Lonchura striata: one gene and its partner. The protein of the gene in region 2 interacts with the protein of the main gene of each other region in a pairwise test. Links are inferred from orthologs where the notes say so. Each region holds a gene or a part of one and is shown on either strand. Other genes may lie near its edges.

The links. The genes of interacting proteins can lie anywhere in the genome.
Region 1: the proteins of VIM (region 2) and CRMP1 interact in binary tests that used the Homo sapiens proteins (3 or more experiments, as listed by UniProt). The link is inferred for Lonchura striata from reciprocal best matches to the Homo sapiens genes VIM and CRMP1.

The regions. Positions count from the first base shown.
Region 1 is NC_134606.1:12,496,743-12,504,133, reverse strand, and holds the start of CRMP1 (dihydropyrimidinase-related protein 1), read right to left. Parts: upstream 3,036-7,391; 5' UTR 2,888-3,035; coding exon 2,516-2,887; intron 122-2,515; exon of another isoform or gene 1-121.
Region 2 is NC_134603.1:136,552,170-136,560,166, reverse strand, and holds the start of VIM (vimentin), read right to left. Parts: upstream 3,063-7,997; 5' UTR 2,989-3,062; coding exon 2,447-2,988; intron 2,267-2,446; coding exon 2,206-2,266; intron 1-2,205. UniProt on the Homo sapiens protein: Vimentins are class-III intermediate filaments found in various non-epithelial cells, especially mesenchymal cells. Vimentin is attached to the nucleus, endoplasmic reticulum, and mitochondria, either laterally or terminally.

The sequences.
Region 1 (7,391 bases), on a different chromosome or scaffold from region 2:
AAGCCCGGTCGGGTGATGGGGCGGGGCGGGGGCGACCCGGCACAGCGGTGGAATGGGGGCGAAGTTCCGTCGCCCAGAGGAAGGGGAGACCGGCAAACCCGGCACCTTTTTTTTTCCGGCTGCAATCAAACAGGGACGCGGCTCCCGGGGGGGTCGGCGAGCGCTGCCTCTGCCGGCGGCAGCAGCGCCCTCCCGGCTGCAGGTCGGAGCAGGATTCGCTCAGCGCAACCCAGGAAGCGTTTCCTTCCCTCCTGTCCCCCACCCCTCCGCCTGGCCCCCCTTCACAGCCCATCAATCCAGCCGGAGCCTCCCTCCCTCCCGCACCGGCTCTGGGAAACGCCGCCCCGCCGGCTCCGCCGCCGCCCCGCTCGCACGCTGAGGTCACCGGCAGGATCCCATGCGTGGGTTGCCGCAGGGTGGGGACGGGGGATACAACCCTCGGCGGTGGGTTCTGCTGTGCTGCACATGGCAATGGCATTGCCTGCCCCGTCCCCACGGCATGAAGCCTGATGGCAGTGCTCTGCACTATCCCCATAGAACTGTCCCCACAGCAGTGACCCTGATCGCACTGCCCTGTGCTGTCCCCATACCACTAATCCTGATGGCATTGCCTTGCACTGCCCCGATGGCCCTGCCTGCTCTGTCCTTGATGGCACTGACCCAGGTGGCACTGCCTTCTCTGTCCTCACTAACATCTCTGACCCTATCAGAACTGTCATGCTCTGCACTCCTTGTCACTGCCCCATTGTCACACACCTGCTCTGTCCTGTGCCAATGGAGCTCACGGAGGATAACACAACCAGGCCAGGCCAGGTAGATGCTATATCAGCAGCTGCTGGAGAGGTCCAAAGGCTAGTTGAAACCCTTCTGTCTTTTCTCTGTCCCACAGAATGCCTCCCTCCACCCATGGTGCTTGAGGGTAAAAGGCACTGCAAAGCTGTGCCCAAGTTAATTCCCTCAAGGACATGCACTCTGGAGCTCTTTGCACACCCACCCCTGTGATAAACACAGAGATAAAAGCCATTGAGCACCCAGGCCACATCCCCGACACATCTTCCCAGAAATCATTGTTTGAAACTTGTAAAAAACTCTGGATGTCACTGCACAGGGGTCACCTGTATCTGCTGCTTACAGTGCATCTCCCTAAGCCACTGGCCAAATTTTGTCTGCTTTACCTCTAACCTCATCCTCACCTCGCTTTGGTCAACTTTGCAAGCACAGTGGGATCCAGAGAAGCAGTGTGCGGTGTGTGCTCACTACCTTGAGTCCCAGGATGAACTAGGAAGCAGGGAAAATGGGGATGCAGCACCATGGATGTGCTAGAAGATGGGGTGTGCTGTGCCCTCCCTCTGCCCCAGGGTCCTGATCAAGAAAACCTCAGGAGTTCAGGTGAGCTAGAAAAGAGAAGACTGCACTGCAGCTGGCAGCCTCTGAAGGCAACCCTGGGGTCGTTGCAGAGCAGCAGCATCCCAGGCACAGTGTCCCACCAAGCCCTGCCTGCTCGCTGCAGTGTCCCACCACAGCAGACACCCACTGGACTGCACAGGAGGCCATGGCACCTGCATGCAATCCCCAGGCCAGAGCAAACCAGCACCCCATTCATGCCCAAACTGAAGAGGGGTGAGAAGAGTGGAAACTCTCAGTTCAGCCTGTGGAAAGAGTGTGGACAAGCCACAGAGGCTCCAGGCTGTGTACTCAGGAACAGGGTGTATCCAGGCAGAAGCATCACTGCAAGGCCGCATTTCTTTCTAAGGGGAAATCAATGACAGCCCGGGATCCCATGAGAGCCATCCCCTCGGGTCTGCCTCCAGCCTGCATGCCACCGACAGGGCTAAGATGGAGATGTACAGCCGCCAGGGGCCGGCCAGCCCACCGGCTCACTTCCTCCTTGAGCCTACAATGAGTCCAGGCTGCAGAAAGGGGAGCCCAGGGCAGAGGTCTCGGCCGATCCTCCCGCCTCCCGCGCTCCCTGCCGGGGAGACAATGCAGGCGCAGAGGGAGCCGGGGGAGCAGGGCCAGAGACAGGGCGGGGGGTCGGGGCAGATCCTGGAGCTGTGCCTGGGACAGGCTCCGCGGAGTTTCCCCGGCGAGTTCGGGAGTGCAGCGGACCCGGCTTTGTTCCGGGGGGCGGCCGGGAGGCTCTGAGGGACCCGAGCTGCCCTCCAGCCCCCCGGCACGGGCAGGAAAGGAAACGAGAAAACTCATCGCCATCACTTACAAAGGAAAACGATTTCTGGGGTCGCCCCCTCCGGCCCCGCTAAGCTCTGCCAAGTGAGGTAGTTCGGGGCCAGCCGGGCTCTCCCCAGAGCACCAGCGTGCCTGGGAGGAGGGGGCCGCGCCTCCCCGACCTGCCGTGCCGAAACTCCCCCGCGAAGGCGGCCCCCTGCCCCTGCACCGGCGAGCGGGGCTCTGCGGCACGGCTCGGCCCGGCTCCGCTCGGTACAGCAATCTCGGCTCCGCTCGCCCAGCGAGCGGGGGCGGCGGCCCCCACCTCCCCAGCCCGGGCCCCGCTCACCTGTCCATTGTCCTGGCCCTGCAGCAGCTCCTTCCCCATGGGGTATTTGATCTCCACGCCCGGGGTCTTGTCCTCCCGGTCTCCCGGGGAGCTGATGACGGAGCCGGAGATCTCGCTGATGTCGCTGGCGGTCTCGCTGTAGTTGTCCCCTCCGTCCAGCATGTCGTGCCGGCTGCCGCTCCGCGGGGTCCGGGACCCCTTCTTCCCCACGCTGTAGGCATCGAAGTCGATGGTTTTGTTCTCATAGGCCCCCTCCACGGAGGCGAACATTCCCCCGTATTTCTGTCGCGGTGTCTGAGCTGTCGTGCCCGGCCTAGCTAGATACACAGGCAGGTCATCTTCTTTATTCCAGTTCCTCTTTCTCTCGGCCATTCTCGCTGTCCGTATCTTTCTCTCTCTAGCTCTCTCCCTGCCTCCCACTTCTCTGCACCTTCCACTACCGGGATAGGCTGTTGGTGAACATAAAAATGAATGGATGGATGCAGCAGTGGTGGAGCTGGGTTGGCTGGTGGGATCTTTCCGTTAGGGACCTGCAAACGTTAACCTCCTTCCCCCACCCACCCCCCCGGAAAAAAAAAAAAAAAAAAGAAAAAAAGAAAAAAGAAAAATAAGGAGAAGGAAAGAAAGAGAGAGAGAGAAATAAATCCGAGCGGGATTTAAAAATAGCCGTGTTAGTAAAGAGCACGTGAAAATAAAGTACAAAGAGCGGAGCGGAGAGGGTGGCAGAGGCAGGTGATTGGAAAGCCCCTGACGAATGGGAAGAGCAGCAGCGATTCCCCGAGCAGGGACCGCAGTGCACTGCTCCCCCGGTATAGAATGATCCGGGGGGCGGGCGGCAGGGGGAGGAGGCAGGGAGGGAGCCCGCCGCATGCACACACGGCCGGTGCCAACGGGGTCCTGCCCTGCGGGCGGGAGGGCGCCGGTCACCCGCTGCTGCGTGGCTTCGGGGCTGGAATAAAAGGGAGGCGAAAAGAAAAAGAGAAAAAAAAAAAAAAAGAGAAAAGCTCCGAACCTCCCCAGCCCCCCCGGGACGAGCCGGAGGGAGTTTCTCCCACTTTGCTCACTCACATTGCCCCCGCCCCCTCCGCGGGAGAGGCTGCGGCGCTGCCCGGGCGGGGCGGGGGGCGCGGCCGCGGCAGCCCCCGGTACGGGCGGGGGATGGGCCAGCGTCGCTCGGGGTCGGTCTGCGGCCGCAGGGGGAGCGGCGGGGAGAAGAGCGAGGGGTGGCCGGAGTGTGGGAGGAAGCAGAAGCAGCCCCTGCCTCAGGGCAGGGGGGCCGGCGCTGCCCCTGCCGCAGCAGCCGCTGCCCGCGGGGGTGGAGGCGGCTCTGCTCCGCCCCGCCGCCCCCGGCCGCCGCTCCCGCTGCGGCGGCGCGGACCGGGCGCCCGACCCCTTCGCACGCCGCGGGGGCAGGGGCTGCGGGAGAGGGGCTGCGGGAGAGGGGCTGCAGGCGGGGGCTGCAGGCGGGGGCTGCGGGAGAGGGGCTGCGGGAGAGGGGCTGCAGGCGGGGGCTGCAGGCGGGGGCTGCAGGAGAGGGGCTGCAGGAGAGGGGCTGCAGGCGGGGGCTGCAGGCAGCAGTGCCGGCCCTGACACGGAAGTGATCGCGCCGAGCGCTGCCTGAGCCGCGGCCCCGCCGCCGGCACGGGGCGCGGGCTCCGCGGGCCTGGGCGCGCTGCCCACGGCCCCGAGTGTCCGCCGGGCCCCCAGGAGGGCGCGGAGCCGAGCGTGTCCCGCGGATCCCCCCGGCGCGGCCGGAGCGCGGCTCGCCCCCGGAGCTGTCCCTTCAGCACCCCGGGAGCCTCCCGGGCCCGCACGGGGCTCGTCTGACTTGGCCTCGGCAGAAGGAGACAAACCGGGGAGGGCTTGGCTTCACTGTGGGAGAAAGTTGCCAAAAGCAAGGGCAGGAGGAGTGGAGAGTCTGAGAGTGTGCTCCCCTCAGCTCTCTGCACAGCCTGCTTCAGAAAGTCCATCCTTACAGCCCTGCCTTACAATCCTCCTGAGATTTGGTGCCTGAGATCACCCACCAAATTCACAAGTCCTTGGACACTCCTCTCCTGCACCAGCAGACAATCTGAAATTGTCACAGGCTTTGACTGTGCCAGTAGTTACATAAGGGACATTTTCTGTTGCTCTGAAATAATATATTGTAACAAACTGGTCTGAGATTGATTATGTGACTAAGCAGTTTGAAGCAGTGGATCAATCACAAGGCCTGTTTATTGCTCATGTACAAAGTGATGCTTGAATACAAGCCCAACCACACTGCACTGTTGTCTTTGGTCCACAGGAGTACCTGATGGTCCCAGCATGAGAAAAATTGCAAGTTACTAATTGCAAAGCAGGAAAAGTGGGAGGTCCCTGGGATTTAATCAGAAATTAGTCTAGATAACCATCTTTCTCATCAACAACTACCCATGGACCCAAACCATGTGAAAAAACAGTGATGTGACATACCTGAGTAATGCCAAAATACATCAAAGGAAAACATCTTTCTTTTCTGCACTTATGATCCAGTGGGACCTGCTGTCTTAAATGCTGTGTGTGCATTCAACACTATAGGTGCTGCTCACATGAGCAGAGTTAGTAAGATAGTCAAAATTTCACTTATTATTGGTTATCGGCACACTGATTTTAGTCCACTGCCATTTATGAGCATATATTTCCCAGGTTTCTACAGCTCACTTAATAAACCATATTTCCACATTAACACATTAATATCATAGAGCGGTTTCACTGGTGCATGTGGAAAAAAAAGAAGTATAGCTCATATTGTTTCATTGCTTCCTTAGTCTTCTCTTCTACGGGAAAATACTGGGATTTTTTTTCCTGATGGTAACATTGAGGTTTATTGATCATGTTGGGGAAAAAAAAAGGTCAATTTTTTCTACACAGGACACCAAATAGTGTCAGTTAGTGAAATATATAGGTGGTACATGGATTGTGATGTGTAATTTGACTGTCTTTGCAAGTACTGGAAAAATATTCATTTTATTAGTTACTTCTTTGCAATCAAGAGATTAATTCCAGAATAAAAACTTCTGAAGGTCCCATAGTAGGTCTGATATGTTGCATAGTGCATACATCTGCTAAATGAAGAGCATTTTTATTTATCATCCATAAAGCTAAGAAAGATGGACTCTGTTTACACTTGGGATCTAGTTAGATAACACTGTTCAGGTTTCCAGAGCACTAATTTTTAAGTATTAAGTCAGGATATTCGTATTAATTCTGATACATAAGGAGATCACAAGACTCAGAGAACATGTCAGATCAGTGCTTTAGAAAATAGCATTAAACTTTCTAGTTGGAAACAAGCATAAACGAATATCAGAGTCTGTCTTTGCTTTTAAATGTTTTGGGTTTTCTTCATACCATAGGCCTTAGTTTGCTAAAAACTATTCTCAGTCACCAGATGCAGACTGTTCCTTTGTTAATTAAGAGTAATTTTAGGTGCTACGGAAGCAGACTCAAGTGCATCCTGATACCCTGGCATCCTGTGAGTTTGCCTAAAATCAAGTATGCAGCTTTGGAGAAATATATTGCTTTGGTATATTCTCTTCCAGACAGTGCATCTCATCCTGTTTTGACCTTGCTTGATGAAAAGAGGACTGAACTTTATTGAAAATGCACAGTCTTCCTATAGGACCTTTATTCCAAATAGACTAGATGAGTGATAGCAGCAAACCTAGAGACACGTTTGCTTCACACTACAAAACCTGCAACATCTTGCTGGATAAAAGCCCAACAAGAAGGGTGTCACATACCTTGGCTTTGTTTGTAGGTGAGCTCTTTCAACAGCATGAACATCATGAGCTAGAACAGAACGTCCCTGGTGCAGGGCCTTAGAGAGTGTGCAATGTGCATTTTGCACCTATTTTTTGCTATTGTGCATTTTACAACAGAATCATTGAACCAAAAAAGGCAGGAACGGTCCAAAGGGAATGAATGTGAGAGACACGAGTTCTCATTCTTCCAGAGGAGTGATTGGAGTTGCCAAGTCACTGAGTCAGTCTCCCTGTCTGTTCTGTGGGACTGCTGTATCTCCCCCCACAAAAGCCCATCCCATGGATTGGTGATTTGAACTGTCTCCTGACATACAGGAACTGTGAATCCAAAACACAGCTACAAGCTGGGGACAGCTCAGGTTACCCACTTCATGAGCAGTGATACAGCCCACAGTATTCTGCCAACTCACATTAATTCCACTAACTCGGCAGAAACTGAATGGCAGCTCCTCCACCAAAAAGAGCAAGAGCTCGGGTGTAACAATTTCCTCACCCTGTTAAAAGAACAGGTGTCCCCCTCCTAAAACTGAGACTTCCTGGGTTGCTATCCATGGACACAGTTGTACATAGAACTGTATTTCAGATGCTCTGTCACCATTTTAAAGGTAAAATAATAAAATTATAATGTTTTTAATTTAAAATATGCATACATTTAATATACAAAATTATACAAATTATACATTTAGCTAACATAGAAAAATACATCTTGTTAACAAGATAAAATGTCAACATATCTTACATAATTTGTGAGAGTTACAAATCTGTGATCATCAAGTAGACTTTGTGACTTCATTACAATTCTGTATCCTCCTAGTTACACTGAATATTAATACATATGTACAGTTGATATCAATGGCAAATGTCTTAGAGTGGAAATCTTTGCTGAAGAGTTATCCAGAAGGTTTTAATGAAATAGTTAAAACATGAGTGGCCTCTTTGATACTATTGAAGCTTCTCACATAGCTGGAACTAATGTGACACCCAGTGACAGGGTGGTCATGGGTCAGAGTTTAAACTTTTTGCATTTATTTACAAACACCCCTCCCTCCCCAGTCTAACTGCTACACCTGCTTAATAAGTATCATCACACC
Region 2 (7,997 bases):
TGAACGAACAAGTACAAGTCATAGATACATGCAGTTGGAATACACGCTGATTTTATCCTAGGAGATTCTTCAATGCAAGCCACACACTTTGCAGGGTTGAGCATCCATGTTTACTTCAGACAAACCTCATGTTAGCCAGGACCTGACCTGTTGGGCTCAGGATCTATTCCTTGCTGCTAGACCAGCTGGCAAAGCTGCATTAACTTTCTCACTGTGATGCTTGTCCTGCCCCAAACGAAAGGCCTCACTGAATTTTCACATATACTTTATACAGCACATCACTCAGCACAAAATACTGAAGTACACAACTGCTCCATCAATTAAGAAGTATCTTTGATGATACATCAGAACAGCAAAACACTTGCTGAAGTGATCAAAATCTATACAACTTTCCAGTGGAAAAATATAATAGAAAGCTGTGCATTGTTTTAAAATGGAAAGCTCAACAGGATATTTCACCTTTGGTGTTTTGTGAATTTAATTTCATTTTCACACCAGCAGGCACCAGTTATGTCATAAATGCATTTAGTGTAGTTTCCATAGACAATGATTTGCATTTCTTATGGACAAGCTACAGCTTATGAGGTCAAATGGATCCAATTCTGACTGTCCTGCACACACACATCTGTTGGAGGCTGAGCTCCTGAGTGACCCCTTTCCAAAGGCAGGGAAGAGCTGGATAATGAGTGTGGGGTATGTGCACCAAGCCAAGCTCACTTTAAAGCCCAGAGCCTTCATAAGATTCAACTGGATTGAAATACAGGCATGCCTAAAGTACACCAATTAAATATGAAAGATCATGTAAAAGTCAACCTTAAGTCAATTGATCCTTCAATTGAATTCAGCAATGAATCAGAATAGATGAGGTTCTCTAAAACTTAAGTTCAAGGCTCCTTCACAGAACTTCACACTACAGTAAATTGTCTTAGCACTCAAAAAACCAAAAAAAACCCCAGAAACTTAAATTAAGGCAGTATCTCAGACTGTTTTTTAAAACTTCTGTGCCCAGAATGCCAGTGAAGACTGAATTCCCAAGCTCTGAATGGGAGTAGGTGTTTCAGTTTCCCCACACTATCTCTTGAACACACCTGCTCTCCTTCAAGGACTGTAAATATACTGCAGTCAAAAGCCTTTCCCAGGGAAACACTAACAATCAAGTGCTGATTTCCTGAACAGTGACTTCTGTTAATGCCTATAAAGAGCTCTGGGACAAAGTCAGCCTGTACCCAGCTGCCTGGTGATAAGGGCAGTCACTTCCAGTCTGAAAGAATGCTAGCAATGCTGTTTTACACCATCAGTTTTAGGGAAGAGACCTTGTTTTGAGAAGGCGCATTCCTAAATATCTTAGTCCAAACAAGGCTTAATCTAAGTTGAAAGCCGGTTTTGCACAAGTGAAAACTTGAGCTTAAGAATTTTAGAACGCTGTTTGCACAGTTGTTTCTGGTTGTCACATAGATTTACTTTGACTGGATAACATCACAGCATCCTACAAAGACTAAACTCTTACACTACTTATTTCCGAGGTTAGCATCTTTGTTTTACAGAGGATTAAATTCCACGTTCTTAAGGGACACCCAGAGGAGGCAAACTCAATCCTGTGACCTCGCCCCAAGGAATTTACCGTCTACTTCTTGTCAGCAGACAACACCCACATGAAAACCCTTAAATTTGAAACTGTTGCCCAGTAATGCACTGACCAGTGATTCATCGAAAAGGAGTTCTGTTTTGTACAAAAACTGGCCCATAACAGACACATTTCCCTAGAAATATTCCCGCACCATTACACATTTAGTAAGAATGCAGCCCACTGCACCCTCCCCTCCAACACAAAGGGATCTATTATTTCAATCTGCTGCCACCACACTTGCCGTAATGCCTGTATCTGCATTCCACGGTGAATCCCATAGAAACCATTAATACCCTTCAGCCAAGCGAGCAGATGGCCCCCTTTCACTTTTATTGGATCGGAAAGTGATTCCACGTTGGGGCGTTTTTTGTAAAACGGGCTAGACTTGGATAAAGCAGGACAATAGTTTGCCTCCCCTCCCCTCGGAGTGCAGCATCCCTCTAAAGAAAACACGGAGGGCTTGCGTGAGAACTGACGGAACCTCTTTGTGCAAGGAAAGCAAACTCCGGCACTCCCACCCTCCGCCCCAGGCACGGCCACCACCGCCTCGGGCCCCTCCCTCCTCCACGACCGCTAACCTGTCTGAAGGACTGCAGGGTGTTCTCGGCCTCCTCCCTCTGAAGCATCTCCTCTTGCAACCTAGAAGGGACAAGTCGGCGGTGAAGAGGGAGCGGGGGACCCCCACATCCCCCCGCCCAGCCTCCCGCCCGCCCGGTACCGCTCGGGATGCTCAGGGGCTGCCCCCGCGCCAAGGGACAGAGCAGCGGGGAGGCAGCGGGAGGCGGCGGCAGCCCGAACCCGCCTTCCCCAGGCACTCACTTCTCCCGCAGCCGCATGATGTCGTCGGCGAGGTTGTCCCGCTCCACTTCCACCCGTGCCTTGTCGTTGGTGAGCTGGTCCACCTGTCGCCGCAGCTCCCGCATCTCCTCCTCGTAGAGGTCGCCCAGGCGGGACGTGCCCTTGCCCTTGAGCTGCTCCAGCTCGGCCAGCAAGATCTTGTTTTGCTGCTCCAGAAAGCGCACCTTGTCGATGTAGTTGGCGAAGCGGTCATTAAGCTCCTGCAGCTCAACCTTCTCGTTGGTGCGGTTCGCCTTGAACTCCGTGTTGATGGCGTCGGCCAGGGAGAAGTCCACGGAGTCGTGGAGCCGCATGGGCGGCATGCTGCTCCGCAGCCGCACCGACGTCGTCTTGGTGGCGTACACGCCGCCGGGCGAGGCGGACACGTACCGGGCGCTGCTGGGCCGCAGGGCGCTGCCCAGCGAGTACCGGCTGCTGGACGTGATGTACCGGGTGCCGGTGCTGGGGCGGCTGCCCCCGCCGAACATGCGCCGGTACGAGGAGTTTTTCGTGCTGATGCTCATAGCGGCGGCGGTGCGGGCTTTGTAATCCGGGAGCGGAGCGGGACGACCGGGGAGCGCGGCGAAGAAGGGCGGTGGCCGCGGCCAGGGCCCCTTCTTATGGGCGCCGCGACCCCGCCCCGCCGGGCCCGCCCCGCTCCGCTCCGCCCGCGGGGAAGGGGGGGCGGCCGCGGACACAAAGGCGGCGAGCGGGGCGGATCGGCCGGCGGGGCGCGGAGGGTGGGCGGCAGCTTGTGCCGTGGCTGAGTCCCGGGAGGCTGGCGGGTTTCCTGCGGGACGTGGCAGGGCGGTGTCCCACAGCGGCCGCGGGGAACCCCGGCACGGTGCGCCCGGGGAGGACGCGGTGACAGCAGCGGCATCTTCGTCGCGGAAACGGGCGCTGGATTTCCCCCTCTCGTCTCCTTGTCCCGCTCCAGTGAGCGTGCTGGCTGCAAGAAGGGGTTGGCAAGTTTAGTGGCACAGGCCTGGCAATATACTCCGAATAACCTATTAAAAACCCTCTATAGGTATGATGTATATTTATCTAGATATCTAAGAGCTTTCTGAAAGAGTAAGATCAGGGAAGAAAATATGCCAAGTATTACAAAGGGCTGCCAAGTCTTCAAAATAAACAACCAGAAAAATAATGTATGTGTTTTCTTCAGCTGCCTCCCATGATAGCAATCTCAGCTCCTATGATTAAAACATGAACTTTACAGGTTAAATATGTTTTCCTTGTAGCTGGGTAAGCAGTTAGATGCCTAAGGCTTAATTCTGCCATTTTTGTAACAATGATCCCCAGACTAATTTAATTTTTGGTGGGGTTTTTTTGTGTGGACAGTACATTATTGAGATTGCTGCATTCAGGATCTTGCTCCTGAAAAATAACTAGGATAGAATCAGACTAGATTTTAACAGAAGTTTGTTTCTCCACTGTTGTGCCCAACAGACTTTGCTATTCATTTTGGTAGGTGCATGGTTAGAGTCTTAGGAGAGCACCTGGAAAAATTATAATTATTCATTAACTATGATCTGCAAATATGTATGTAAAATAAAAGGCCAGACAAAAGTCCCAGTGTTTTCAGAGCAATTTTACTATCAAAATGGGACTACCAGCAATGGAAAAGAGTGATGTAGGTAGTACAGGCCAATAGCAATGGCATAAAAGTTAACAGAGAAAAACTTTTAGTAGCAGATTGTTTCAGCATGGATTCAGAGATTGCTTAAGGAAGATGACAGAATCTCTGTCATTTAGAAAACTTTAAACTTGAGTGGCCAAAGCACGATTCACATTCTGAGATTTTGCACTGATGCATCAGGTAAGGGGCATCTTTTTTCTCTGCTATGGGAAGTGTGTGATACATTGCAGACATTATCTGTAATGTACTGCTTCAGCACTTCGGGGATGCAAAACTACCATTGATTTTTGATTCTTTTTAGCTTGCAGTCCTGCAGGAAGAAATATCTTCTCTGGAAGTTGTGATAAACCTGAACATGAACAGTGGGTAGAGAAAAAGGTAATCTTCACACCCCAATTCCCACTAGTCAACTACTGTTGACTTCAGGTAATGTACTTTACAAGGAAGGATGTGAACCTATGTATTTTATTAAAGATCTTGTTTTTTTGAAGGAAATTCTGCTTTGCTTTCATTCTGTTGGCAACCAGAAGTGCAGAAATGCAGTTTGTATCTAAATGTAAGTCCTTGAGGTTTTAATTTCTTTTGTTCACTGAAGCTTAGTCAAGCAAAGGAAGCTGACAAGGTTGAGCTACTGAAGTGCTTGTAGTATAAGTCCCAGGCTACAGCTCATTCCATTCAGCCACTGAATAAGAGGCAGAGGTCACACAGCATTCCTGAGGCTAAGGGTTCCCAAAGCCCAGCCTGGACGCTGTTTGCTGCCCAAACCTCTCAGACCTCTATTTAAGCCATCAAGTTTGAGCTGTAAGCCTGTGAGAGGCCTGGCACAGAAGTACATACTTGTAGGCAAAAAGCAAAACAGCACATAACCAACAATCTCATGGATTAAAGATGCTGTACTCAGAAATACTGATAGCTTTGCTAGACTGTTTTTTAAAGGTGTACTGGTGCCCCATCTGTTTTCCTAACAGAGCACAACTTATACTTCACAAAACCCTCAGTGGCACACATATGCAAGAATCATCCTCATTCAGAAAATGTTTTGCCTCTAAAATCCAAGGTATTTGTTGTAGTAAATATGACCCACCCACTTCATATTTGAAGTGTAATTTCCATATGTTTATATCACTGCTGCATATGTGCTCTTGGCCACCTACCTCATTTCTGTGTCTCACTATGAAATGTTCAGATATTGTTGACTGTTGGGACTACAGTAAACCTTTAAGTGCCTTTTGCTGGTTGGCATTTACACAGATGTACAAATGGAAGAAGCTGTAAGTTTCTTGTAAGCTGTAATAAATTTAATGCACATTTGCATTACAAACTCCCTAGGGGATTAAAACATGTTCCCTTGAAATGCAAAAAGATCTCTACTGTCCTTCTCAGAACAGACTGTCTCAATGTAGCCATAAACATCACTGAGAGTGTACTTTGAATAGAAATGAAATCACAGTAATGTCTAGTTTCATGGGAAATTCTATGGGACTCTCAGAGGCAGTGGCTGATGGAGATCTTGACCACTTCTGACATGAAGAACAGACAGCTAAGAGCATCACTCAGCACCACGTTGGGGATTATTCATAAACTACTGGCTGTTATCTGTGCTGTTTACTGCAATGCCTTCCCTTGCAATTCCAGTGCACAGTCATGCCCTGGACCAACCCAAAGCATCACCTCTACAGAAGTAGATCATAGCTAAGCCAATGGCACTCTTAAAAAATCAAACAGGTTTTATCACAAGAGTTTCAATTCACACTGAAATTTTCTTTTATGCCTTTTTTTTGAGGCCTTTTTTTTCCCCCCACATAATTATGTATTCGTTTGCTGCCAAGATGAAGTACGGAATCAAGTCCTAGATATTTAGCAAAAAGGCACCTGTACTGTGTGTAACTTTCATTAATGGGGAAAGTGGATATGCATAAAGAGAAGGTACGGGTGCCTGAATGGTTTTGTACTGCATATCAGTTGTAGTAAAAATTAAAAAGTCCATATGACAGAATTTCTATTATTTCCTTGCAAAAATATCTGTTGGTCTGAAAACATCACTGAAAAGACTAGCATTCACTTATTTTTAAGTTTTTTTTTAATTTACCATTTAATTTAAACAGTAAGAAGTGAAAACAATTTAGTCCAAATATTGAATGTGCTTTCCAGTTACATAAATCTTGACTAAAAAGATGTGAATGCTTTTCTTAATCAGATTTATGCCCTTTTTCTAAAGTTTCTGCTTCCAGGATGTGTAGAAAGACACATAAATATTAAATACCGATGAAAACACATCCTGCCATGCAAATTCAATAGTTTTTGTGTCAGTACCATACAGCACTCGTAAGCCCAGGCACACATGGGGCTGTAGAGGCATTCCTTCATGCACCCTCTGCACCATGGCTATTAAACAAACTCTGGGCTATGGGGACACATTTTAACATGAGGAAATAAAAGACCCTTAACACCCTACAGACAATTGAACAGGAGGAATACTCTGTAGTGCTCAGCCAGAGTAAGTGCTGTGGCCTATCACTTGAGTGACTGCTGTGGCTTTCACTGTCTAAGAAAACCTTCAACCTGGCCTAAAAACATGGAGACTGCCATGATTTTGAAAACAGAAAGATCCCTATTAAAAAAAAAAAAAAAAAAAAGAAAAAAAAAAGGGATTCTGGCTCTAATCTTCAGCTAGGATAAGTCCCTCTCTTTAGCTGAGAGCCAAGTGTAAGGAGGAGCCCCCAAGAAAGGCCAGTGCATTCAGGGAAGTTATGGTTTTTCTGAGCCCTAATAACCCATCTCCCTGAATTCTGACTAGGAGAAGCTGATTTGGATTTCTGAATATCACCAGGCTGCAGAACATCTAAATGTTCCAGCATTGAGTTCTCCCCTTGTGAGTAACCTCCTTGACTAATTTTTGTCTTGATAAAGAAACTGGCAAATTCTTTTATGAAATCTTTTTAAAAATTATGTTGCCTATTGTCATTACCAGTGTTGCAAAGCATATCAAATTAGTATGACTAGCTGCTGATTTTTTCAAGTAAATGACTAGGCTCTATACTCAAAACTAAACAAGTTTGTCTAAAATATTCTATTTTAATGTATAATGAACTATATGAAACTGGCAGGGGTTTCATAATTAAGGAAGTGATTTGGACATGAGTCAAGCTACCCCATCGCACAATTTACATTTCCAAAGAATTATTATTGTCATGCCTTAAATGCCTCTCTACTATGGTTTATAATTGCCAGAATAGGAAGCTTTCTGTATCAAAATATGACATTTCTGTACCAAATGGCTTGCTCATTTTCAAAGCCACTACAGTCCTGCATCCTGAGGTTGTCTCAAACACCATGCACACCTCTAGGAACAAGAAGAGAAGAGAAGTTTTTAAGCTCTATGACAAGTATAGTAATTTATATAATCCATACCTTAAAAAAAAATCAAATTAAGAATGACACCCTGTCTCATTGCATTTAACAGCAATAGCACTGAATGGCAGCAATAGTTAGCAATGACTGGGACGTACAGAATGAAGTTTTCCAAACTGAGAAGAGGTTTGGCATAGTTTAAGGCTCAATGCTCAACCTGAAACTCTTTAAGCAGAACCAATTTGTAGAATACACAAAGTCTCTCAGTCTTGATTTTGGGTGCCCCAAAATAGATAATTTGAAATTTTATCTCTTCACATTCTTGTTTCATGAAATTTGTATATTATCAAAGACCAAGAAATTGTTCAAGGATCATGATAGGCACTTTATAAGGATCATAAATATCAGATTAAATATTTGATTTAAGCAGCTCAAGTTTTCAGGAGAATCTATGCAAAATGCATAGCGTGTGTAGCTTCTTTCTGTCCTTTGCCACACTGCTGACCATCTTGGACTTGCTCAGCACTAGATTGCAATTCCTGC